Xenopus tropicalis: one gene and its partners. The main gene of each other region encodes a partner of the protein of the gene in region 7 in a complex. Links are inferred from orthologs where the notes say so. Each region holds a gene or a part of one and is shown on either strand. Other genes may lie near its edges. The genes, in order: b9d2, tmem237, cc2d2a, tmem17, tmem216, tctn1 and tmem67.

Region 1 (3,974 bases), on a different chromosome or scaffold from region 7:
TGAGAAAGGGGTAAAATGGGGCAAACAGTTATCTTGTGAAGCAACAGACAGGATCTTTTAAAGACACTAAAATAACAGCATATGTTCCGCAAAAATTGGCTCATTACCAGCTTGTCTTGCAGTAAAGCAGCTTTAGCAATCTTTTATAACAAAAATACTAATGTATTTCTTGCATGAATTGGATCAACGACACCTTTTCAGATAGGGATATCCTAAATAAATTCTTCTGCGTTCATGTATCCAAGTATCTCCCTACTTCTTTTAAAATGTAATTAAATATTTTGGCCACTATGTCTGTCATAAAAGTGAATGCGTTTCGTCTGACGCTGCCATTCAAAGTTTCCAGCATTTTAAAAGCTGGGTTCTTTTTGGTTTAAAGGCTTTACATTTGGGGGTGTGACTACAAAGTGGGAGCAGACAAACGCATTTTCAGCATGGCCATGCTAATTCTCATTACACCCCCCTCAGCCACTAACTTGCTGAACTTTAAATGGACGCTAATATGTCTCTTGTATACGTAATGCCTCAGAACCCGACACGACACGACGCCCTATATCTGTTTAAGCAACGTTCCATTACACTATGTTGTATTATAAATCACAGATTGCAGTATTAATAGCTATCGTTTAATCCCAATACTTCGTCTCCCACAGACTATCAGTCTCGATCAGTTTACACATTTCGCCTACAACAGACGTCACTTCCGCCGGTGAACCAATCAGATCTGCTGTATGCAACGGTTGCACAGCAACAGGCGGAGTCTACCAAAGTGAGAATTAGAAGGGGCAAAAAGCTAAGACAAGGAGCCGGTTTTCAGAGGGGGTCCGGTGAGATTTATGTTGCAGTTGTGCGGTTAGGGGAAGCATTTATAGCGGGATGTAAAAGAGGGCGAAAAATATTTAGAGCTAATAAACTGGTAAAGCGCTTACATCTTACCCTACTGCGGTGTTATATACGCAAAGGTAGATATGATTCGCAGGTTGTCGGTATGGAGTCCTGATGATTTTGCACCATCATCCAAATATGTATCGTCAGTAATTTATATGCTCATAGCACACACAATGGCGCCAGTGTAGGGAGTGTAATGGGGGTATTACGTTTTCCAGCAGCTGATAGTTGACAAACAGAGGCTCTTGGCTGATTCTGTAAGTGTAAGCTGTAGGGCCCTCAGTTTAGGGATTCTATTTGTTGATTCTATAGTGCCTTCACTGTCAGTGTTCTATGTAGTTATGAAATTCACTGTACATGAATAGCCACACTCATGAATTACATTACAGCCCAACTTGTGCAGGTATAAGTAGGTTTTTTTTGCTTGATGTTGGTCATTGACCTGGTTAGTTACATATGTAATACACTATGCGGTAATGACAAATAAAATTATGCTTTCAAATTGGTTTTATTGGATGTGTAATGAACAGTTTGGTTATGACATGCCACGTCTTACAGGGCTTATTGCTGGGGGTTAGCTACATATACTAATAATATACGTAGTAATAACACTGCGCTAAAAGTAGGTAATAAATAAAATGTATATGTAATACTAATGTTCCTTCTAAGCTATGCATTTGTGGATATTTAAATTACGATGTCAGGGCACATGCATTAGAACCGCCCTTTTACATTATTGAGGCCACTAGAAAATAATGGGGGATGTCATATCCTTGAAATGTATTAATCATTATATTTTGGAGGGACCACAAAATAAAAAAACCTAAGTAAGGGATGAAAAATAAAGTTTTACTGTAATAAATTGTGGTGCGCAAAAAGAATTTTGTATGTAAAGGCATAATTTAGAATTTTTTTAGACTTGCGCATAGTTTTTATAAAAGTGCTCAAATAGGTTTAGGAAGTAGGCACAAAAGAAAGTTTTTGCACACACAGCCAAGAAAAAAAGGAAAACTTGGTCACTGAGGCTTGTATATTTATATTGGCGTCAGATGGTATAAGAAGTGTAATTTCTAGCTGTTATTGTTTGTTGGACCTACTTCTAATAAAAATTATAATTTAGTTTCTTCACAATAATGATGTAACTGAAATATATTTTACCTTTCCTCCTACAGTAATGGCAGAGGTTCACATCATAGGGCAAATTATTGGGGCTAGTGGCTTCCCCCAACACAGCCTGTTTTGCAAATGGGGAGTACACACAGGTAAGAGTCATCATTTTGCATTTTAAATGGATCTATATATCAATTGTACATAAAAAAAACACAGTTTTGTTTTTTTGTGGAGCTGTACGCTGTTGAAAATGTGGTATATGCATTCAGTTGGCCCCACTTTTATTCTAGTACAGGTATGGGATTCCTTATACGGAAACCCGTTATCCAGAAAGTTCTGAATTATGGAATGCCCGTCTCCCATAGACTCCATTTTAATCAAATAATTCAGAATTTTAAAACAGATTTCCTTTTTCGCTGTAGTAATAAAACAATACCTTGTAATTGATCCCAACTAAGATATAAATAATCCTTATTGGATGCAAAACAATCCCATAGGGTTTAATTAATGTTTTATTGATTCTTTAGTAGATTTAAGCTATGGAGATCCAAATTACCCTTGGTCCCGAGCATTCTGAATAATGGGTCCTATACCTGTAATATATTTTTAAGTTTGTGATGTGAAGAAGAAATATATGCGTCAGGTGACCCCTGTATTTATTCTAGTAATGTGAAGTGAAGGAGAAGGCTGTGTTTGTATAACTTAAAGCCCATTTTTGGCTTTACTTTACATAAACAATATAAAAGAGTCTTAAAGGAAATGTTAATGTTTTGAGAAAATCTTGATATATAAGATACTGGTGTGGCTCTATCTATTATTAACCATATGATATTTCTATTTGTAATAACATCGTTCCCTACCATAACATTTAGGTGGAGCCTGGAAGCTACTTTCTGGGGTTGTGGAAGGCCAGACACAAGTAGATCATCCACAAAATGATGACATGGCATTCTGGTCTCACCCTATTGACATGCACTTTGCTACTAAAGGATTACAAGGTAAAGTATGATAGAATAAAGAATAAAATAAAGAATCTGTTAAAATTATTGTAATCACATTGGAGCCCCTGCACAGGCTCCCAACCCTAACCCTACCCATTCAAATGAACACACTTTACCTACCAAAGGTGCAAAGTACATTATGTACTTTAAATGCTTGTATTTCCCCCACTTAGGTTGGCCAAAACTTCACCTTCAAGTCTGGCATCAGGACACATTTGGTCGTAATGAACTTTATGGTTACAGCTTCCTCCACATCCCTTCCACCCCTGGTACTCACTCATTGCTTAGCCCAACCTGGCGACCCCTGGGAACATGGCAGGAGCAAATATGTCAGATGTTTGTTGGCGGCGGCCCACAACTTAAGTCATCCAGCCTGATTTATGGAGGGTCTGATCGCTACCGTCTGCAAACAGTGGCCATGGGGCAAGTACATCTCCAATTAACGGTCATACTCAGGAACTTTGAACGATACGGGGTGGAGTGTTCTTGATTTTGCAGAGTGCTAAGAACTTGTTCCTGGTTTTCCAAATGATTATTTTTGGTGCCAAGGACATATGCACTGAAATAATCAGCAAGACATTTTATGGAATTACTTGTGAACACCTCAAACAGAATCCTGCTCAGTATTTAATGAGCCCCTTTTCTCAACCCTTCTTAATAAACCTGATACTTCATATCTCTTCTGTACCATAATCTGGTAACATTTATCCTCCTCCCCTTCTACTAACATCTCTTACACTTTCCCAAATTGTCTGTTACTTCTGATATTAGCCATTTTCCTCATTGTATCACTTTTTTACTATCCTTGCTTTGTTTTCAGCCCTGTTATAAAGCACACTCCCTTTCTCTCCTTTCATTTTCATAATACCTCATTCACATCAATCACTTACCAGAATACATTTATATATAAAGTAAATTGAATGTTTTTGTTTTTAAATACTTTTCAGGCTCTTTTGACGATTATCTTAAATCAGT
Region 2 (4,234 bases), on a different chromosome or scaffold from region 7:
ACAACCTCGCTTCCCTTACTGTGAAGAACCATTTGTGCTACTGTAGGTGAATTTCAGTTTCTCAAGTCTAAAAGGAGGCCTTTGGTTGTTTCCAATTATTCAATTGTTCCATTGCTTTTACCAATTTAGTTGCACCTCTCTGTATTATTTCCAGCTCATTAGTTCTTCTAACTGGTGCCAAAAAAAGCACTGCAGTCTTAAGCTAAGGCCTTACCAGCCATTAAGTATCATTATTAACTAGTGTTTATAAAACGTTAGTATATTCAGTTGTGCTGTACAAAAAAAAAAAAACTGCCAAGACTGGTCCATTATTTTAAATGTACCTGTAATTCCAGTAAATGTGTAATATGCTGGTGATATAAGGAATAATGTACCTCCCCCCTTGTTGTAAAATATGAGAATATTAGATTCACACTGGCAACCTGTAGATTCTGAAAATGCCAGAGGGGCTGCTATAAGCAGAGCTGTCAACTTTTGACGGGTGCAGTCCGTGGGGGGCTGCAATTTTTTGTTCCCAAAACGTGGAAATAACGTCACATGTGCGACAGACTTCTGGAAGTGACATCACACACATGCACAAAATCCCCGGCGAAGCCAAAAAATTCTACCTGCACACATGCATCAAATGATGTCACCAAACAATTACTGTACATGCACGCCCAGTATTCGCCACCGGACTTCGGTATATTTGGGCAGAATCAGGAGAATATTGGGGGATGGCTGGGGGGACAAGGCGAATAGGAGACCAGGAGAGAGCCACCACAATCTGGTTACTCCAGAACAAATGGGAGGATTGATAGCTTTGTGTAAGATGGTCACTATTTTTGTGGGCTGGTGGGGGTTGTTTGGGCCTCTGTGTATTGGAAATTCCCAGGCCAGAGTTCCATGACCCATATAAAAGCATAAGGCCAGCCTGTGCTACTGTACATGACAAATCTCCCCAAAATGACTTGCCTTAACATATTACTTGCAGCCATTAAGTTTATGCAAATAGAGGCAATTTCCCCTCTCTTTGGGCGGTCCATCAGTCCGATCCCGATACTATGGCAAGCCAATTCTGGGAGATTTGTCGCCCGTGGTTGTGCAGATTGAACCATTGGAGACAAATATCAACTTGCACCATTACCCCAACCCTAGCTGCTAAGGAAAGAACTGTGATAGCAATTACGCAAACATACAGCTTTACAGAAACAAATATTTAATAATAAGGCTGCCGCACGCCCTCACTTCCTCACCCCAAGCCACTCGGCCCCTCCCTTAGTGCTACAAACGCATGCGCACTTCAAAGCTAGAGCTCAGTGAAAGGCAGTGAATCAGAGCTACTTGGCTTTTTAAACGCGCCCCTTCCAGTCTGGCAGCCAATAAAGAGATAGCATTCTGTGTTTCCATGGAAACTCTTCGGTAGCCTTCCCTGCTCCAGAAACATTCTTTTGCCCGACCTCAGGGAGCATGGAGCTTATCCATTAAGCACATATATGTCCTAAAATGGACAGCGTAAAAGTAAGTTCTGCCTGTGTAACACTACATTCTTGTTTGCATAAACTTTTCAGGGAATGAGGGACTCTGCACATGTAAGCATCACTGATGATGAGGTTGGTGAAAATGGCCGCCAGCTGAAAGCTGCTCTTTGTTTTAAATATGAAAATATGTTTGCTTTGGCAAAGGTGGGGGGGATATATATGCAGTTAAAATGGTATGGTTCGGTAGGGAAATGTGCCTACATGTAGGAAAATAAAGGGTTTAGGGATTAATTCACGTGGGCGTATAAAAGCACTGACCTGTAGCTGAAGGGCAGAAGGTTCTAACCTTTGTAATCCCAGAGTTTATCTACAGATTATTTTTGTGTAAGGAATAAGAGGATCTATGTGTTGTGTAAAGGAACTGCCTAGTATCTGCCTGTATGTGCACTGACTTTTGATGATGGGGAAGAAGCAAGTGGTAAGTACCTTAATGCTTTAGGAAAGGAATGTTATTTGGCAGATGAGAACCTTATAGAACATTCTTACTATCTGATGGATGCAAGCCTTCATAATTTCATGTGAATTTGATATTAAGTTAGTGATTTTTATGTGATTGTACCAGTTCATTGTTACCATCTAATTTATAAATAGAAATGTACTATAAAGTTCAATATAAGAATACTGATTTTTATTAAAGCAGTAAAGTTCATATTCAGTTATTTATTGATGTTATTTAACTTTAACTCTCTGTTTAATGTAGACATTGATATTGTAAGATTGGTAATTGTGGCAGTTGGTTTTCATTTTTATTTGTACAGCAGCTCTCCATCTTGGAATTTCAGCAGCTATGTGGTTGCTAGGGTTTTATTTACCTTAGCAACCAGACAGGGGTTTGAATGAGAGCCTTGAATATGAATCAGTGGCATAACTACACTGCACTGGGCCACCCTGTAAAAAAAAGAAACTTCAAAGGGCCCAGCGCAGAGTAGCAAACGCACCAGGCCCCCTGCCCTGGTGCGTCCCCCCCACCCCCTTGAATATAAGTTAGGGATGCGCCGAACCCACTTTTTTGGGTTCCCCCAAACCCACCCTGACGGATTCTGCCGAATCCTAATTAGCATATACTAATTAGAAGGGGGGCCTGAACAGAAAGATATGGAATAAAAAGTAACCACAATAAAAAAGATGTAAGAGATGTAAAGGCCAATTTATTTTTGGCTGCAGGGATCAGTGACCCCTATTTGACAGCTGGAAAGATGTAAAAGAGGAAGGCAAATAAGTAAAATAATAATAATAATGAAGACCAAATGCAAAGTTGCCAAGAATAGTATGTTCTGTAAAATACTAAGGGGCACATTTACTAACCCACGAACGGGTCGAAATGAGTCCGATTGCGTTTTTTTCGTAAAGATCGGTATTTTGCGATTTTTTCGTATTTTTTGCGATTTTTTCGGCGTCTTTACGAATTTTTCGTTACCAATACGATTTTTGCGTAAAAACGCGAGTTTTTCGTAGCCTTTACGAAAGTTGCGTAAAATCTTGCGCTTTTTCCGTAGCGTTAAAACTTACGCGAAAAGTTGCGCCTTTTTCGTAGCGGTAAAACTTAAAAGGTGCGAAGTTTCGCGTAAGTTTTAACGCTACAAAAAAAGCGCAACTTTTTGCACAAGTTTTAACGCTACGGAAAAATCGCAAGATTTTACGCAACTTTCGTAAAGGCTACGAAAAACTCGCGTTTTTACGCAAAAATCGTATTGGTAACGAAAAATTCGTAAAGACGCCGAAAAAATCGCAAAACATACGAAAAAGTCGCAAAATGTTCGTTTTCAAGTCGGAACTTTTCCAATTCGGGTCGGATTCGTGGGTTAGTAAATCAGCCCCTAAAAGTTAACTTAAAGGTGAACTACCACTTAGGGTCACACAGGCCTTTTTTACCCAGAGGGAATTTTTCATCTCTTTCAGTTTGGCCCCATCTAAAAATTCACTCTAACAAATCTTATTGGCCAAATATATAATAAAAGGGACAAAGTTTGCCAGGATGACCTGTAAATGCTGATTGGTTGATTAAACTAGTAGCAAACTTTGAGTGTTTTATTACATTTCCCATTGTTTTTCACAAAGTACATCAAAGAATTACTTTTTCCAAAATATTTCTGGTTTTATTTTTTAACGTTTTTAGTGTTTTCTGAAAATTGCATTTCTTGCATGACTTCCCTGCCATAACATCTAACATCTGCTAACAATTTAAATATTAAATAAACCCAATAGAATTGTTCTGGCACCAATGTGGATTCATGCAACTCGGTTATGATCAAGTACAAGGTACTGTTATATTATTAAAGAGAAAAAGAAATTCATTTTTAAAAAAATTAATTATTTGATTATAATGGACTCTTTGGGAGATGACCTTCCTGCTATTTGGAGCTTTTTGGATAACTGATTTCTGGATAACGTGTCCTATACCTGTATTTGCTCATTGAACTCACTGAGAGAGTGACAGATTTTAAAAAAAAACTTCTAGGAGGGTGGTCAGTAGGGCTGCTTCCTTGGCTTTGCAGAGTTTAAGGCTGATGGCACATGGGACATTTGGTTATCCACGTGGTGACAACATGTCTGAAAAAATCTTGGATAATTAGTTGGAAGAAACCAACCAACTAATTAGGCGATCCTAAAAATTCCCTGGTGTTTTCATAGCAGCTAGATTTTTATCACATATGTTAAACTTCTCCTGAAATTCTGGAAAATTCTGTTAGCTTTTTGCAGAATTGTTGAAATGA
Region 3 (3,500 bases), on a different chromosome or scaffold from region 7:
TTCGTGTGTTGCATCAGGTCTTGGGCCGAGGTGACCAGTTTGGGCCCGGGTGATCAGTAAATGCTAGCTGCTGATTTTTTGCTATAGGTGATTAGACCTAGAACAAGCTTTGAACCTTTTGTAACATAACCCCATTAGGGTTGGATCTGTTTTTACCAGATCTGTTCAGTCTCGTTCCAATTTGCTGTTTAATCCAGTAAGGCACAGGTTGTACATCATTAGCGTTTATAGAAACCGTTTGTCCCGTGCACAGATTTTATTAAACTCATTTCAGTTTTCTGTTTTCTCCCCTCAGGAATTGGTGGCGCACTATGTTTCTCTTATCCCATTCCTGCCAGACAATGTATCGTTTGCTGGAATCTGCAACCTATGGAGTACAGCAGATGTAAGTAACGACCTGCCCCGCCCTGTTATGGCTGTCCCCTACCTGTGTGTGTGATGAACTGAGATGGCTGCCTGTTCACCAAGATACTTCAAGGTCAAAGTCATGATAGTATGCCTTTAAGAAACTCAGATAGCAATGAAAATGAGAATGCTGAGGACACTGGTGGGACACAGGTTCCACCTGCTGGTTAGTTACAGACATTACAGATAAAAATATCAGGTTTCTGTATTTATTTATGTATGTATGTATGTATGTATGTATAACTTTATTTATAAAGCGCCACAAGGGTACGCAGCACTGTACAATCTTACAATATACACAATTACACAAAGGGAGGCCAAGTGTTATAATAAATAAATACAATAAATATATATATATATATATATATATAAGTGCCATGTGGTATGAGAAACAGTAGGAAGGAGGTCCCTACCCCATGGAGCTTACAATCTAAGTGTATATCTTTATTTATAAAGCGCTACTTATGTACGCAGAGCTGTACAGTAGAATACATTTATACAAACGGGGTTATTAAGATAATAATAGATAAATACAAAGTATAACAATAAATAAAGATAAATACAATATATAATTAATAGTCAAAGACACAAAAAGATGGAGGTCCCTGCCCCGTAGAGCTTACAATCTATATGGAAATATTACCTTTTTGTTAATGGCTTTAAGAGATCAGGCTTAAAGGGGAACTCTGGATTCCCAACCAAAGAGCCCCACACAACACAGAAACCCCTAATATAACTATCACTGTAATCTGTTCTGCCAAAGATTATGATTAAATATAATTTTTATATGCTGAAATCCAGCTGCAGTTTTCTCTTTCTGCATCATTTTAAATCCTGGCAGGGGAGAAGGGACTAAAACATTGATGTTACAAATTGTAACAACTTCTCTGCAGCTTAGAGACAGCATGCCGGAACTACATAACCCACAATGCATTGCACTGGGATGTTCCTTCTTTTACTGACATCACATTTGTAGGGAATTGTGGGATTGGGAGGATGCAGGCTGAAGGCAGGCTGAGGGGAGGCGACTACTGTTACATTTTATTTGAGTCTCAAAATAGTCAGCCAGATCAGCAGGGGAACAGGGGGTGGGGCTTAGGGAACTGTTCCAAAGCATATCATTATATTAAAAGTCATGAAAAGACTGCATAGTTTTTAATTGATGTATATTGTGAAGTTAGTTTAAATTATCTTTACTTTTCCAAAAACTCAAGCTGTGTTTAGTAACCTAGGCAGGGATTTAGCAGATTGGGCGTGCATGGTTAGTTTTGTAGCATAGCCTTAAACCATTTTTCAATGGTGAATGTTGGATGATATGCTAGTATAACGATAGTAGCCAGTCACATTTATGGAAAGAGAGGAATCTTATTGGGTGCTTTTAGACATTTGGGGCATAATACCTGGCCACTAACTGACTTGTATTCCCATGATAATGTAATGGTGTGTAGCCGCTGTATCCAGGCTAGCCTTGCACAGAATGTGCTGCTCATATCTCTTACTGTGTCCCTTTCTTTTATTCAGCAATTCCTTGATCTCCTGGCTGGGGACGAAGAGGAACACGCTGTCCTGTTGTGCAATTACTTTCTGGCCATGGGGAAGAAGGCATGGCTCCTGATCGGAAACGCAGTCCCTGAGGTGAGAGCCAGTCCTTCCGCCATGCAATTGGTTTCACTCTGTGCTGTATGGGTTGGGCCCTCCTCTGGCGCAGAAACAGCAGTGTTATGTTCTGTAACAAGGAGACAATTAGGTGTTTGTGCCTGTTTAGCACTCTAACCGGAGCCTAGCAATTGATTTCTGGCTTTATCTGCTTCCTTAGATGGGCACGGTTCTGCTGGCATCTAATTGTGCTCAGATAGGTGATCACTGGCCTCCTATGGAACCAGGCCCAAGGGTTCAGCTTCCAAAGGGACATACCACTGAGAAACTTGGGCAGCTGTGTTTGAGCAATTAGCCCTATAATCACTTAAGGAGCCAATCACTTTTGAACTATGGGAATGTAAGTTGCGATATTCCTAGGGGGCTCCTCTGCCGAGAATTTTGGGAAATATGAATAAGTGATAACGTAAAGCCCAGATTAACAGAACCATTATGCCCCATAGTATATCTCATGGGGGCATTGCCACTTAGTGACCTGGGTATATGCTGGATAGTGATTGTGAAATCCTCCATTTCTTTGTTCTTCCCAGTTTATATAGCTATGCTGCCAGCTCCCTGAATGTCCTAAGAGATGATTCTATTCATTTATTTTAGGGACCAACTACATATGTGCTGACATTGGAACAGAACCAGTACATCATATGGAACCCGAGCACTGGAAGGTTTTATGGCCAGTATGACACATTTTGCCCACTACAAAGTGTTGGGTGTCTGATTAATGCTGATAATGTAAGTACCTAGATCCTTGGGCTTGTGTTTTCTATTGCCTGCCATAGTCTGTCAGCTGCCATTTTGGAATGCCTGATGGGTGTGACACCCTGATTGGTAACATTTATAGAATGCCCTATTCTTAGAATCTTTTTAATTGGTCTTCATTTTTCTTCATTTTTCATCTGTCAGGTAGGGAGGTCACAGACCCCGGCAGCTTAAAAGCTGTTGCTCTGTAAGGCTACATAGTTTCTCCCTGTATTCTTGTTATTACTTTCTATTCCTTTCTATTCAGGCCCCATCCTATTCATATTTCTGAGACTCGTTTAAACCACTGCCTGGTTGCCAGGGTCCACTAGACCTAGCAACAAGGTAGCTGCTAAATTCCAAACTAGAGAGCTGCTGAACAAAATGCTAAATAATTAAAAATGCACAACAGGGATAACATAAAAACCAGCTGCAGATTGTCTTGAATATAAATGCCTACACCATACAGATAAAGAAAGTGAACATCCTGTTAGGGCTCTGGCACACGGGGAGATTAGTCGCCCGGGACAAATCTCCCTGTTCGCGGGTGACTAATCTCCCCGAAATGCCATCCCACCGTCGAAAATGTAAATCACCTGCGGGATGGCATACGCAAGGTGTACTGCCTCTCAAGGCAACCACCGCGTATGCTATCCAACCGGCGATTTACATTTTCGCCGGTGGGATAGCATTTCGGGGAGATT
Region 4 (2,502 bases), on a different chromosome or scaffold from region 7:
TTTACTACAGTTAGTATTTATTGTGCTAGTGGGGGCTGTTTGGGCCTCTGTGTACTTGAACTACTAGGGCCTATTTTGAAACCCAGTCCAGTGTAGTGCCACTCTCCCACTAAAATAGCACTGCCGACCACAGTCTTCTCTGCATTCAAAGGGGAAGCAATTAGCCACACGCAATAAATCTTCCACACTGCCCATACTATTGTGAAAGACCCCTATATTTTCCTACTGAATATTAACTCCTTAACTAATGGGTAGTACACCTTTGTTAAGCATGAGCAGAATAAATAGGCTATGTAATAAAAATACATTCAGCATATTGTCAGCACTGTATTTAGGTCCATTGCCACCCTACCTAGGCCCTAGACAATGACCTCCCCCCCAGCTGGCGGAAGTGACATCACGTGCACGGCTGAGCGTGACCTCACATCCATCCATCATCGACTTTCAACCCCTCATCACCCCCAGCTCCACCACCAGATTTACTAGGTTTGCTAGGTAATGTAAACATTTTTAGGTGATAGTTACTCACACATAACATAAGCCCTGTGATTCTGATTTATCCATGACAAGGCATTTAAAAGATCCTGTAGAACAGTGATTCCCAACCAGTGGCTCAGGAGCACCATGTTGCTCACCAATCCCTTGGATGTTGCTCCCAGTGGTCTCAAAGCAGGTAGTTATTTTTTAATTTCTGGCTTAGAGCCTCCTGAAGGCTGCCAGTCCAAATATGGGCTTCTAAATAACTAATCACAGTTTGGGGACCCTTGCTATAGAACACAGATACTAAATACAGTAGAAGAAACAAATTTCAATGTGAAAACCATGTCACAAACTAATCACAGTGCACTTTATGTCTTTTGACAGGTTCCAGAACTGGCTGGCTTTTTGATCCTGACCCTTTTAATACAGTTGCCTCTGCTCTTATTCCTTTTGACTGATAACAGAAATTTACTTTTGCCCTTGGATCTTGCAGTTCACATGATTTATCTGATGTTTATTAATGCAGAGATAGTAATTTCCTTCCTGGTTCTTAAAACCATGACAAGACAGTTTGCTCTTGAATATTACTTACAACAGTCTGAGATTCTGGTCAGCAAACATGTCCCAGTTAATAGAACTCTTCTAAGGTTCCAGAACACCACCACCAGCATAGCAGAACAATATGGGAGTGATGCATTAATGTACTAAGGTATAAGCAAATTCTGTTTCTGGTTTTCAAACCAGCAGGAATTAAGGCTGAATATCTGTATTTCCTAATTACAGAGTTCTTTGCACTTGAAAAGGCTAAACACAGAGGAGGGATTTGGTACACAGAAAAATATGGAGATATGAAGACAAAAATGACAAAAAAGAGAGGGAACCAGAAAAAGTGCAACAGATAAACAAAGAAAAGGAAGTGTAAGACAAAACATAACAGAGGGAGAGAATGGCTGAAATTAGAGATTTGTTGAGGGAGAGAGAGAAAAAAAACCTGATTAGCCACAAGTTCTGATTAGCCACAAGTTCTGATTAGCCACAAGCACACCACTTGGAGGGAACCCCAATCACTTAAGGCTAAGTTATGCAAGTAAACAAACCAAGGGTGGGACAGCTATTGCAGAAGGAGGTGAGGATACACTAGGGTTTAATAAGCACGAAAGAAAAAAAAACCATCAACCACAGGTTCAGTTTAGCCACAATACAGCATAGAAAGGCAAACCATATTCCTACAGCGAGGCAACAGTAATTTTGGCCTCTGGAGATAAAATATGCTTACAGGTTTTCCAAATGAAAAGCCAATACAATTGGCAATAAAGATAAAACAAGGTTTAACAAAAAAAACCCCACAAATTTATTTTCATATTAACACAAAAACTCTCTGTGACATGGTAATAAGGTCAAAATGATGGAATGAGAAGCCATATTTAGCTGCACAAGTATGCAGGCACATTTCTTTTATTTGAAAATGTCCTTCCACTTTTGGTGAGTACAATATTGTTGCAATAAAAAAAAAATATAATCATGTTTGCTTCTCCGGTGCATCACAAAATGGTATATTATCTAAAAGAAGGTCTTTCCTTGCTTGCAGCACTGAAATAAAAAGATAAAGATAGGTGAAGACACAGAGCATTATGCAACCATAGACAATTGAATACAATTCATCAGCCCTGAGCAACAAAACTGCCAGAACTAGCTATTGTCCCACTGTATATTCTGCCAAATACCTCCTCCCTCCTTGAGAAACCTTTAAACCTTTTACCTATATCTGCCTTAACAGTAAGGTTTATAAAGTTTGGATTTAATGGCCAGTTTTGCAGCCTTTTTTACACTGCCATATGTTTATTTGAATACACTGTAGTACATAATTTCATTTATATCTTTCAGCTTATTTGTGCCATATGAGACTGGCTTGTGCAGGTAGATGGTTATGTTTCTCATAGATATTCATGACATTTGTATAATTCAGTAAATATAATGTAGCTGGAAGTGCTTGTAGACCTTGTAACTTATATAAAAAGGCAA
Region 5 (3,972 bases), on a different chromosome or scaffold from region 7:
CAAGAAGGAAACAGGGTGGGAAAAGGGTGGGGATCAGGGTGGGAAAAGGGTGGGGATCAGGGTGGGAAAAGGGTGGGGATCAGGGTGGAAAAAGGGTGGGATCAGGGTGGGATCAAGGTGGGGATCAAGGTGGGGATCAAGAAGGAAACAGGGTGGGAAAAGGGTGGGGATCAGGGTGGGAAAATGGTGGGATCAGGGTGGAAAAAGGGTGGGATCAGGGTGGGATCAAGGTGGGGATCAGGGTGGGAAAAGGGTGGGATCAGGGTGAGGATCAAGGTGGGGATCAAGAAGGAAACAGGGTGGGAAAAGGGTGGGGATCAGGGTGGGAAAATGGTGGGATCAGGGTGGGAAAAGGGTGGGGATCAGGGTGGGGATCAAGGTGGGGATCAAGAAGGAAACAGGGTGGGAAAAGGGTGGGGATCACGGTGGGGATCAGTGACCTGTAACTCCGCCCATGTGTTACTAAAAGTAAATATAAAGGGGAAGTTGACCCTTTATTGGGCTATGGGTTCTATAATGAAGTAACTGTGAGTAACATAATTAGGTGAGTAGCAGTGAGACGAGGAAACCGTGGGTGGGAACATCCGGCTCTTGAAGCGAGGGTCTCGCATCTCAGCCCCAATTAATAACGACTGCGCATCACTACTGAGAGACAGCAGCATCGGCCCCCAACTCTCCCACCCTCGCTCCTCTACTGCCCCCCGTGCAGTCATTAGTGCTCATACTGCCTCTTGTGTTTGGAATAACCTCTTCAGTGTTATAAAGGGTTGTCTCCATCTTGCCCTACTGTCTCCATCTTGCCCTACTGTCTCCATCTTGCCCTACTGTCTCCATCTTGCCCTACTGTCCCCATCTTGCCCTACTGTCTCCATCTTGCCCTACTGTCCCCATCTTGCCCTACTGTCCCCATCTTGCCCTACTGTCCCCATCTTGCCCTACTGTCTCCATCTTGCCCTACTGTCCCCATCTTGCCCTACTGTCCCCATCTTGCCCTACTGTCCCCATCTTGCCCTACTGTCTCCATCTTGCCCTACTGTCTCCCTGGGCAGAGGAGCTAGCAATCTAATTTGGCTGCAGGTACACTCTCCATTGAACAGTTCCCAGAAGCCCAGCCAGTCCCAGTTATTTAGTGGCCCTGAATGTTAGGGGGGAAGGCGCTAGGACCCCGCGGCGCACAGGCGGCTCAGGGGGTCACGTGTTGCGGAGGTTTCCAGGGAGTGACGTCACAGGCGTCCTTAGAGCAGCAAGATGGCGCCCAAAGGTAAGCGGGAGGCGAAGCAGCGGATGGAAGAGCGGCCCCCCTGCTCCCTGTAATGGCGCCTGTAAGCGTGGGGCTACTGTGTCCCCTATGCAAGAGGTGCAGCTGATCAGCGGGACTACAACTCCCAGCATCCCCTGCACCCGATGCCGCTACGCTGTCCCCTTACCTGCTGCATAGGGACCCGCACCGCTAGTGTGCAACTACAACTGGGGGGGGGGGGGGGGGGCTGTTAGACCACAATTCCCGGCATCCCCAGAGAAGCAGCGACTTCTCCCTGTTACCCACAATAGCGCACATTCCCCGGGCAGGTGGGTATATTATGGGCAGGTGGGTATATTATGGGCAGGTAAGTGGGTATATTATGGGCAGGTGGGTATATTATGGGCAGGTGGGTATATTACGGGCAGGCGGGTGGGTATATTACGGGCAGGTATGTGGGTATATTACGGGCAGGCGGGTGGGTATATTACGGGCAGGCGGGTGGGTATATTACGGGCAGGCGGGTGGGAATATTACGGGCAGGCGGGTGGGTATATTACGGGCAGGTATGTGGGTATATTACGGCAGGCGGGTGGGTATATTACGGGCAGGCGGGTGGGTATATTACGGGCAGGCGGGTTGGTATATTACGGGCAGGTATGTGGGTATATTACGGGCAGGCGGGTGGGTATATTACGGGCAGGCGGGTGGGTATATTACGGGCAGGTATGTGGGTATATTACGGGCAGGCAGGTGGGTATATTACGGGCAGGCGGGTGGGTATATTACGGGCAGGCGGGTGGGTATATTACGGGCAGGTATGTGGGTATATTACGGGCAGGCGGGTTGGGGTATATTACGGGCAGGCGGGTGGGTATATTACGGGCAGGCGGGTGGGTAATATTACGGGCAGGGGGTGGGAATATTACGGGCAGCGGTGGGTATATTACGGGCAGGCGGGTGGGTATATTGAGGGCAGGCGGGTGGGTATATTACGGGCAGGCGGGTGGGTATATTACGGGCAGGCGGGTGGGTATATTACGGGCAGGTATGTGGGTATATTATGGGCAGGCGGGTGGGTATATTACGGGCAGGCGGGTGGGAATATTACGGGCAGGCGGGTGGGTATATTATGGGCAGGCGGGTGGGTATATTACGGGCAGGCGGGTGGGAATATTACGGGCAGGCGGGTGGGTATATTATGGGCAGGCAGGTGGGTATATTACGGGCAGGTGGGTATATTACGGGCAGGCAGGTGGGTATATTACGGGCAGGCGGGTGGGAATATTACGGGCAGGCGGGTGGGTATATTACGGGCAGGCGGGTGGATATATTACGGGCAGGCGGGTGGGTATATTACGGGCAGGTATGTGGGTATATTATGGGCACCTACAGGGGGAGACCAAACATGGCTGCTCTGAGTGCTGGGAGGGGCCCCCGGCCCCCACTGGGTCTTCTGCTTGGTATCATGTGACTTGTGCTGCCCCCTAACTGTGCGTTTGCTTCCCAGGGAGAAGGCGCGGAGTTGTATCCTTGGCACTTACATAGGTGAGACGGTACCAAGTCACCTGTACAGGTATAGCCTGGCCCCGCCCACTGCTTCTTATATTCCTTTAACAATTCATGGGGGTACATTACCCCTTATAATACATGAGTGATACTCAGAGTTCCCTGTATAACTCAGCCTGCAGCCTTGTGCCTTTATATGGGGGGCACAGAACCCCTCAGTGACTGCTAATATCCTTATCATTTACAGTAGGGGGTACATTATCCCTTATAATACATGAGTGATACTCAGAGTTCCCTGTATAACTCAGCCTGCAGCCTTGTGCCTTTATATGGGGGGCACAGAACCCCTCAGTGACTGCTAATATCCTTATCATTTACAGTAGGGGGTACATTATCCCTTATAATACATGAGTGATACTCAGAGTTCCCTGTATAACTCAGCCTGCAGCCTTGTGCCTTTATATGGGCACAGAACCCCTCAGTGACTGCTAATATCCTTATCATTTACAGTAGGGGGTACATTATCCCTTATAATACATGAGTGATACTCAGAGTTCCCTGTATAACTCAGCCTGCAGCCTTGTGCCTTTATATGGGGGGCACAGAACCCCTCAGTGACTGCTAATATCCTTATCATTTACAGTAGGGGGTACATTATCCCTTATAATACATGAGTGATACTCAGAGTTCCCTGTATAACTCAGCCTGCAGCCTTGTGCCTTTATATGGGGGGCACAGAACCCCTCAGTGACTGCTAATATCCTTATCATTTACAGTAGGGGGTACATTATCCCTTATAATACATGAGTGATACTCAGAGTTCCCTGTATAACTCAGCCTGCAGCCTTGTGCCTTTATATGGGGGGCACAGAACCCCTCAGTGACTGCTAATATCCTTATCATTTACAGTAGGGGGTACAGTATCCCTATAATACATGAGTGATACTCAGAGTTCCCTGTATAACTCAGCCTGCAGCCTTGTGCCTTTATATGGGGGGCACAGAACCCCTCAGTGACTGCTAATATCCTTATCATTTACAGTAGGGGGTACAGTATCCCTTATAATACATGAGTGATACTCAGAGTTCCCTGTATAACTCAGCCTGCAGCCTTGTGCCTTTATATGGGGGGCACAGAACCCCTCAGTGACTGCTAATATCCTTATCATTTACAGTAGGGGGTACAGTATCCCTATAATACATGAGTGATACTCAGAGTGGGAT
Region 6 (4,034 bases), on a different chromosome or scaffold from region 7:
TCCTGCACTTAGTAAATCCTGTATCCTTTTTTGTTATAGCTCTGCCTACATGTATGATGTTATTCTCCTTCATTATACAAGTTTATAACAGAATATGCAAAGCAGTCAGTTAAGCCAGTAGGGTGATAATAATGCACTCCGTTGCACTCACACACTCTTCCCTGCAGTCAGTTGTGCATTAATCTCCACTTGCAGCAAAATGTGTTCTTTGCACTTCTGTGTAATTGGCTCGGCACCACTTGGCCTTTCCTGTCTTCCTTTCTAAATAGAGCACTGCTGCAACTAATGACACGGGAACCCTGGTTTCAGGCTTCCCTTCATGCCCAGCCGCAATAAGCGCAGCACACTTGCACCTCCAGATTCGGTCACAGTGGTCACTTGAATGCGGCAGACACTGGAAATTATGCCAGCTGGACTTCAGCTCAACTGCAGCCAATTTGCAATAAAATGCACACACATTTGCATTAATTTTGCTGAATCTAATGCAATTGCGTAATCACAATAGTTTTCCAAAAAATCTCCTTCCATTATACTGAATTTAAATGTCCACAGGAGTTGTTTACTTTTAAGTTAACTTTTATTATGTAATAGAATGGCCAGTTCTAATCAGCTTTTCGTTTGGTCTTCATTTTTTTTATATTTTATAGTTTTTAATTATTTGCCTCTGTCTTATAACTTTTTCCAACTCGAATGGGGGTCACTGACCCCAGCAGCCAAAAGCCTATTGCTCACTTATCATGCTATTCAGGGGTCTCTCCTATTTATCCTGGGGTAATTTGGACCCTAGCAACCAGATGCAGAAATTCCAAACAGGATTGCTGCTGAACAAAGAGCTAAGTAATTGAAAAACAAAGACCAATAGCAATTTTTCTCCGAAAATCACTCTCTACACCATACTGAAAGTTATTTTATAGGTAACCAACCCATTCAAATGACATCTCTGTGCATCATTGCTCTAGTGGTACATGTATTCCGTGCTGGCAACAGCAACAGAGATATCGTTTCCCTCATTGGTAATATGAAGCATATCATACTATATATAGTAATATAATAACATGGGTGTCCAGCATGAACCCCAAAGAAAACCAGGCAACGCAAATCACTACACTGCGAGAAGGCAATTTCCCTTAAAACCTAAGTTGCGAATCTTTCCGCTCCCAGGGTCTGGTCCATATGATTAATAGACAATACGTCACTTCCTGGATCCCGCAAGTCGCTAGGGTTGTTTACAGCAACTGTAGGCAGGCTGCCGCTATGTAAGCCTTTATGTATCCGCCATGAATTCCCTATGGAGCTGCAGCTTTGCGCTCTTTTGTTGTTGCGTGGTTTTGGGGACTTGCAGCCTCGCTACCGAGAGCCCTAAGGAGACTGCCCGCACCGAACCAACTGAGACCCAGGCCTGGGACAGTACGGGGGGTCCTCTGCTTCCTGACCATGTGACAGACAACCAGACCTCTGAGGGCAAAGCGGAGTCTCACTATAATGATAGCGATACCTTACCTGTGGCTACAAATACACCTGAGCCTCTGAGCCCAACCAAGAGTAGGTAGCATGGGGGGTTGGCTGCCTAAGCCTGGTTAAAGGGAATCACAAACTCTTTACCACTTATTGTATTGTTTAAATGTCATTTTTGTTAATGGAAAAAGGCAGTAGTCTAGTAGGAATGTACTAAATCCATATCAAAACCTGAGCCAAATCAGAACTCTAATTTGTATGAATATACGTTCAACCCATTATTACATGTTGCAAGGTTGTTTTTTTTTGACAATGGAAAAATGAAAAAATGTTTTACTCATATCAAATAGCTATATGTATATAAGTTCAGCCCTGCTTAAATTTTTCCTCTAGTTGTCTGTTTCAAAGTTACTTCAAAATATTCTCCTAGCTGCTACTGTTGGTTCAGTAATATTCATCCAGCATTTGGGGTTACCAGGTTATAGTTCTACATATTTGTGTGAGTAGGGCTATCAGCCTAATGTGACTGCTATTTTTGTCTTGCTTTATTAAGTTAACAGGGTGGTTTGTGTTTGTGACCTGCTGGTTGCCCACTGTGATGACAACTGTTGCTGCGATCCTGACTGCAATGCTGCAGATATTCGTGGATGCCTGGCCAATGAAATGCCTGCAGAGACAGCCTATACAGAACCACCTGAAATCCAGGTGTTGGAGGGTGCAGAGGAAGACGTCCCACCTGAAAACAACACAGACCATAGAGGAGTTGAGGATTCAGAAGTCATTGATATTGGAGTCATAGCTTCTCCAGGGGATGAGTTAACAAGAAGCTTTGGTTCTGCTGACCAACCTGGTGCTCGAGTTCTTCCCTCTCCAGTCACCAACAGTAAGTATAAATGAAAATCTTCATAGAAGTAAGTAACATGATGCACTACTGCGTCTGGCAATGCCCATTTAATTGATCCATTTCTCTAGTGATGGGAGCATTAAAACTACTTTCTATCATTACTGTAAATAATTGAAAATGTTAAAGCTTTTAAAGAGAACTAAACCCTACCCTATTCTCAGCCCCCTCCACCCCCTCCATTGCCCCCCTTCAAGCTACCTCCCCACAAGAGTTATTCTGTTAAGTTTTTCAGTGATTTCTTATTGCTAGGGTATTATTTACTCTAATAACCAGTCAGTGGTTTGACTAGGAGACTGGAAGATGAATAGGATAGGACCCGTTATCCAAAAAGCACCAAATTATGGGAAGGCTACCTCCCATAGACTCTATTTTAATCAAAAAAATTCAAATTTTTAAAAATAATTTCCTTTTCTCTGTAATAATCAAACAGTACCTTGTACTTGATCCCAACTAAGATATTAAAAGGGGTGTTTGCCTATGATATAGAGAGTAATATTCTGAGACAATTTGCAATTCATTTTTTATTATTTGTAGTTTTTTAGTTATTTCACTTTTTGTTCAGCAGCTCTACAGTTTGGAGTTTCAGCAGCTATCTGGTTGCTAGGGTCCAAATTACCTTTAACATACAAAACGTTTACTAAATAGTCAACCAACCCTTTACTAATCCTTACTGGAGTCAAAACAATTTTATTGGGTTTATGTAATGTTTAAATGATTTTTAGTAGACTTAAGGTATGGAGATCCAAATTATGGAAACACCCCTTATCCAGAAAAGCCCAGGTTCCGAGCATTCTGGTTGACAGGCCCATTCCTTTGTAAAGAACATTAATAAAAAGTAATAATAACAATAAAATAGTAAATTTGCAGAGCAATCATTTTAGGCTGCTGGGTTCAGTGACCCCCATTTGAAAGACTGCACGTATTTGCATGCAGATATTTGTATAGACTATCCACTTCAGCGTGAGTATAACTAAGATTAATCTTCTTTCTGAGTTAGAGTAAAGTAATTTTCCACAGAGGGATTTCAGGTGCCACCAGCCAATAAGTAGTCAGGAGGGACTGCACACACACGCAGTTCAGCATAAATCATTATAATGCTCAATCACCGTCTATACTCGAGTATAAGCCAATCCGAATATAAGCCGAGGTACCTAATTTTACCTAAGAAAACTGGAAAAACGTATTGACTCGAGTATAAGCCTAGGGAATGCAGCAGCTACTGTTAAGTTTTATCAAAATAAATACCAATAAAATTACATTAAATGAGGCATCAGTGGGGTATATGTTTTTAAATATTTATTTCAAATAAAAACTGTAAATTAGCTCTGTAAGTGGAGGGTCAACAAAAACAATTGTTTTATCAACAATGATACCTTAAGAGTACTCAGCAACCAAGCTAAAACACAAAGAGTTAAAATCCTTCAAAACTATATATAGTTTATATAGAATATAAAGTGAAATGTCTAGTGCAGAATGGGACAGGTAAGGATGGTAGATGAAGATAAATTTGGGAGCGGGCCACAAAGGACAGAGGGTGCTAGTTTGGAGGGACCCATGGCACCCGACTCGAGTATAAGCCGAGGGTGACTTTTTGAGCACATTTTTGGTGCTGAAAAACTAGGCTTCCAGTGTTTCCTCTCAGATTTTTTGAAAGGGCCATTGGTGTGGTGTCATT
Region 7 (3,405 bases):
CCTTTAAATATATCATAGACTGGCACCTCCTGACTTGGTTGTGATTATCGGGAAAGTATCTCCTGACCAAAGCACTGGTCTCACAAGCTTATCCAGTATATACCATAGCAGCTAATAGATTGTAAGCTCTTCAGGGTGGGAATTGTATTCCAAATGTGAACTAAAACTCCTAGCAGTTAAGTATTTATTTTCACTAATTTATAATAACTATATATATATATATATATATATATATATAACACTATATAAATATATATATAGCCCTGTCTGTGTTTATACTTTGTAAAGTGCTGCATACACACGTGGCCCTATATAAATACAGTACAATAGTGTACAACCCCGCCCTGTACTGGCAAATCATTTCTTTGCTTTGCTCTTCCTTCAACAAGACAACTGCCCTGAGCTTTTATAATAAAAAAAAAAAACAGTTGGTGCTGGTTTCTTCCATTCCCAACACATTTTCTCCACATTTCATGTAGAAGAAGAAGCCACACAACAGGTATCTGTACAAAATATTTAATTCACTTGAAAATACAAATGCATAAATACAAAATAATCTTGGCAGGAGAGGGTTTTATCAGATCAGTTTAAACTTCAGGGACACATCTAATAAATACATGTTGCAGGGCATTTTAATTAAACTGCAATTAGTTCTACCCTGCCAGCTGGATTTTCCAGAGTGCTCTTGAATTTTCAAGTGGCCTGGTCATCCTAGCTCAGAACGCCAATGTCCGACAATGTACATAATCTTGTAAATGCACTGAAGGAACTGCGGTGGCACCAGGCAGCAGAACAATAAAGTTATTAGTTTAAAGTTACTAAACTACATGAATTGTATCTTTCTGCCTTTCTGTGAATCTGTGCAAGTGGCCGCTGTAATCAATTGGTTGGCCCATAAAAGTATGTGGTGATGCACCACAGTTGATTACAGCAAGATATACAATAATAAAGTTTGCCTTTTTATATGTTTATAAAATCAAGTATACTGACAAGCCATGTCAGGTCTTACAAAGACTCTATGCTCCATGCCTATGGATATAGGATCACTAGATTAACCACCAGATGATCACAGCCTGATTAACCCCATATTATCCTGGAAAGGGAGGCAATTTTAGGATTTTAAACTAGTATGGGGCACTGTGGTATAACAAAGTAAACTGAACCTGTACTTCTATTGCCTATAGAAAGTATCCTTTCAGCTGTCATTCTGTTCTCTTTAGTCATTCCCAAATGGAATATAAAGGATGGCAGGCTGCAGGCACGGAGCCAGTAAATGACAGAGATCATTTAGATTATGGAACTTTATGGTATGTCTGTGGAAGGAAAGGAAAACAGATATTGGGACAAACACAAACTGAAAACTGAGCTTTAGGTTGAAAAATGCAATATCTCTGATTGGATCACAGCACTAAGTGTAATGCCTGCAGGCCATAATGTCCCGCATTGGAGCCTGCATAGGGGATGTGCAGCACTGAGCCCATGTAACACTGCTACTATGACTGAATACGTTATGTTTCAGTTCCGGTTAATACTCCTTTAAATGAATACGTCTGTGAGACAATGCCGTCTGTGTTTTAAGTACAGAAATATACAAAGTAAAAACAAGAAATATTTACAGGTCATTTTTCTACTCAGTAAGGGATATCCTGCCCCCTACAGTGTTATCTGAAGTGGTGTCCATTATTATTATAAAACTAGGCTGCAGCTCTCTAGCTGCTATGGTGAAACGACAACTTCTAAAACACCCAGGCAGCATTTAAGAACATCTTAAAATACTACACATACTGGGGCTAATTTACCAACACAGATTCTAACTTGCCCCGGTGCAGTAATCAACAGAAACAATGTTCTAATCAATCTACAAGTTTTATAAAATGCAGCAAATATCTGACTGGTTGCCACTGGTGAGTCCTACTGTGCCACAGCTGTAGACCTTGCCACCATGTTGGCTTACTATACATGCTGTCTCACACCTGCAGCACTTTAATAGACCTTCTTTACTGTCCCATTATAACCCATTAGGCCCAAAGGTGTAACTCATGTTCAGACCCCTTGCAAACAAGGCTCAGCATACCCACTCTTTGTACTGTGGCTGGAGTTAAAGATTGATACAAAAATACTTTAAATTCATATAATGTAAAAATACTGTCTTTGGAATGTCCCAGTCCAGCTGCTGATACACATTTTTTTCTCATATCAGGAACCTTTCATCAATCTGGGTTTTAGAGGCCAAGTTCTTCTTCCCCACTGCATTACAGAGCAGCCTGAATAACTGAATCAAAGGGAAAAACAAATAAGATTATGATAAAGGGATATTTAACGAGTTAACACACATGCCGATCCTAAAAAAACACAAAGTTTCCAACATGATAAATAAGCAAACATCTTTGTATTGCAGCATTTTACAAGCATTGCAGTAAAAAGAAAGGTGCACATATGTGTTAAAGGAGTTGTGCTTTTTGTTTTTTTGAGACAATTTGCAATTGGTACTTGATCCTAATTAAGATATAATGAATCCTTACTGGAGGCATAACAATACTGTTGGGTTTATTTAATGTTTGAATGATATTAATAGACTGAAGGTATTACAAAAATATCCCTTATGCAGAAAACCCCAGGTCCCAAGCATTCCCATACCTGTACTAAGATCATTGTTGGATAGGGCCCTTTGCCTGTGAGATCAGATGTGTTTTCAAACAGCTGACCAGTAAATGCAACCTGCTGTCTGGTTGCTATGGATTATTAGACAGTAGCAAACTTTGCACCTTTTATTACATAACTTAATTATAGGCTGAAATGTTCAAGTGAACCAATAGCCGCAGATTTGATATTTGTCTAAAATCCTGTAATGCACTCTATGCTGCTGTGTACCAGGTAGTTATGAACAATATGGGTAACAGTGTATCTCCCCGGCAGCTGCTGCAGTGACACCGACGTACCTCTTGCTGTAGGAATGTGAGGATGGCAGCCAGAACAAAGTTTTGTGAAGCAACGTCAACAACGCAGAAGAATAGGGTATCAAATATGAGGAGAGTAGATTCATTTCCATAAAAAAGAACATCAGTGAATGAATGATTCTCATCTGTGGAACAAAAATACAGAGTTGTACCTGAGTAAGGTTAGTAACAGGCAACTATACCAATCAGTTGCTTTTGTCTAGGGATTTTTGTCTCCCCATTACGATCCACCCTAGCTCCTTCCCCCCTTTTCTACTATTGTACCCTTTTTTTTTTTCTATCTCATTTCAGCTCTTTTCCCCATCCATTTATGCCCCTTATTCATCTGTGGCTCCTCTGCCCAAGTTCCACCAACTCCAGGGGCCTGGATGAGTTCTTGAACAAACATAGTATCCAAGGCTATTGTGATACTAATATCTACAGTTAGTATTGATGTTGGTATATATGG

The links.
Region 1: tmem67 (region 7) and b9d2 share a complex: the UniProt entries of both Homo sapiens proteins name them as parts of the tectonic-like complex. The link is inferred for Xenopus tropicalis from reciprocal best matches to the Homo sapiens genes TMEM67 and B9D2.
Region 2: tmem67 (region 7) and tmem237 share a complex: the UniProt entries of both Homo sapiens proteins name them as parts of the tectonic-like complex. The link is inferred for Xenopus tropicalis from reciprocal best matches to the Homo sapiens genes TMEM67 and TMEM237.
Region 3: tmem67 (region 7) and cc2d2a share a complex: the UniProt entries of both Homo sapiens proteins name them as parts of the tectonic-like complex. The link is inferred for Xenopus tropicalis from reciprocal best matches to the Homo sapiens genes TMEM67 and CC2D2A.
Region 4: tmem67 (region 7) and tmem17 share a complex: the UniProt entries of both Homo sapiens proteins name them as parts of the tectonic-like complex. The link is inferred for Xenopus tropicalis from reciprocal best matches to the Homo sapiens genes TMEM67 and TMEM17.
Region 5: tmem67 (region 7) and tmem216 share a complex: the UniProt entries of both Homo sapiens proteins name them as parts of the tectonic-like complex. The link is inferred for Xenopus tropicalis from reciprocal best matches to the Homo sapiens genes TMEM67 and TMEM216.
Region 6: tmem67 (region 7) and tctn1 share a complex: the UniProt entries of both Homo sapiens proteins name them as parts of the tectonic-like complex. The link is inferred for Xenopus tropicalis from reciprocal best matches to the Homo sapiens genes TMEM67 and TCTN1.

Annotation. Positions count from the first base shown.
Region 1 is NC_030684.2:79,325,656-79,329,629, reverse strand, and holds the start of b9d2 (B9 domain-containing protein 2), read left to right. Parts: upstream 1-1,174; 5' UTR 1,175-1,245; coding exon 1,246-1,291; intron 1,292-2,060; coding exon 2,061-2,150; intron 2,151-2,870; coding exon 2,871-2,996; intron 2,997-3,172; coding exon 3,173-3,489; 3' UTR 3,490-3,974. UniProt on the Homo sapiens protein: Component of the tectonic-like complex, a complex localized at the transition zone of primary cilia and acting as a barrier that prevents diffusion of transmembrane proteins between the cilia and plasma membranes.
Region 2 is NC_030685.2:53,781,285-53,785,518, forward strand, and holds the start of tmem237 (transmembrane protein 237), read left to right. Parts: upstream 1-1,434; 5' UTR 1,435-1,485; coding exon 1,486-1,500; intron 1,501-1,510; exon of another isoform or gene 1,511-1,553; coding exon of another isoform or gene 1,554-1,592; intron 1,593-1,627; exon of another isoform or gene 1,628-1,917; coding exon of another isoform or gene 1,918-1,938; intron 1,939-4,234. UniProt on the Homo sapiens protein: Component of the transition zone in primary cilia. Required for ciliogenesis.
Region 3 is NC_030677.2:27,906,383-27,909,882, forward strand, and holds part of cc2d2a (coiled-coil and C2 domain-containing protein 2A), read left to right. Parts: intron 1-295; coding exon 296-385; intron 386-1,926; coding exon 1,927-2,040; intron 2,041-2,655; coding exon 2,656-2,790; intron 2,791-3,500. UniProt on the Homo sapiens protein: Component of the tectonic-like complex, a complex localized at the transition zone of primary cilia and acting as a barrier that prevents diffusion of transmembrane proteins between the cilia and plasma membranes.
Region 4 is NC_030677.2:166,777,927-166,780,428, forward strand, and holds the end of tmem17 (transmembrane protein 17B), read left to right. Parts: intron 1-864; coding exon 865-1,188; 3' UTR 1,189-1,999; downstream 2,000-2,502. Other genes in the region: complex III assembly factor LYRM7, read right to left, coding at 2,000-2,070. UniProt on the Homo sapiens protein: Transmembrane component of the tectonic-like complex, a complex localized at the transition zone of primary cilia and acting as a barrier that prevents diffusion of transmembrane proteins between the cilia and plasma membranes.
Region 5 is NC_030678.2:178,906,042-178,910,013, forward strand, and holds the start of tmem216 (transmembrane protein 216), read left to right. Parts: upstream 1-1,172; 5' UTR 1,173-1,248; coding exon 1,249-1,261; intron 1,262-2,750; coding exon 2,751-2,767; intron 2,768-3,972. UniProt on the Homo sapiens protein: Part of the tectonic-like complex which is required for tissue-specific ciliogenesis and may regulate ciliary membrane composition.
Region 6 is NC_030677.2:162,883,889-162,887,922, forward strand, and holds the start of tctn1 (tectonic-1 precursor), read left to right. Parts: upstream 1-1,234; 5' UTR 1,235-1,277; coding exon 1,278-1,542; intron 1,543-2,008; coding exon 2,009-2,338; intron 2,339-4,034. UniProt on the Homo sapiens protein: Component of the tectonic-like complex, a complex localized at the transition zone of primary cilia and acting as a barrier that prevents diffusion of transmembrane proteins between the cilia and plasma membranes.
Region 7 is NC_030682.2:127,764,419-127,767,823, reverse strand, and holds the end of tmem67 (meckelin), read right to left. Parts: intron 3,083-3,405; coding exon 2,940-3,082; intron 2,273-2,939; coding exon 2,192-2,272; 3' UTR 501-2,191; downstream 1-500. UniProt on the Homo sapiens protein: Required for ciliary structure and function. Part of the tectonic-like complex which is required for tissue-specific ciliogenesis and may regulate ciliary membrane composition.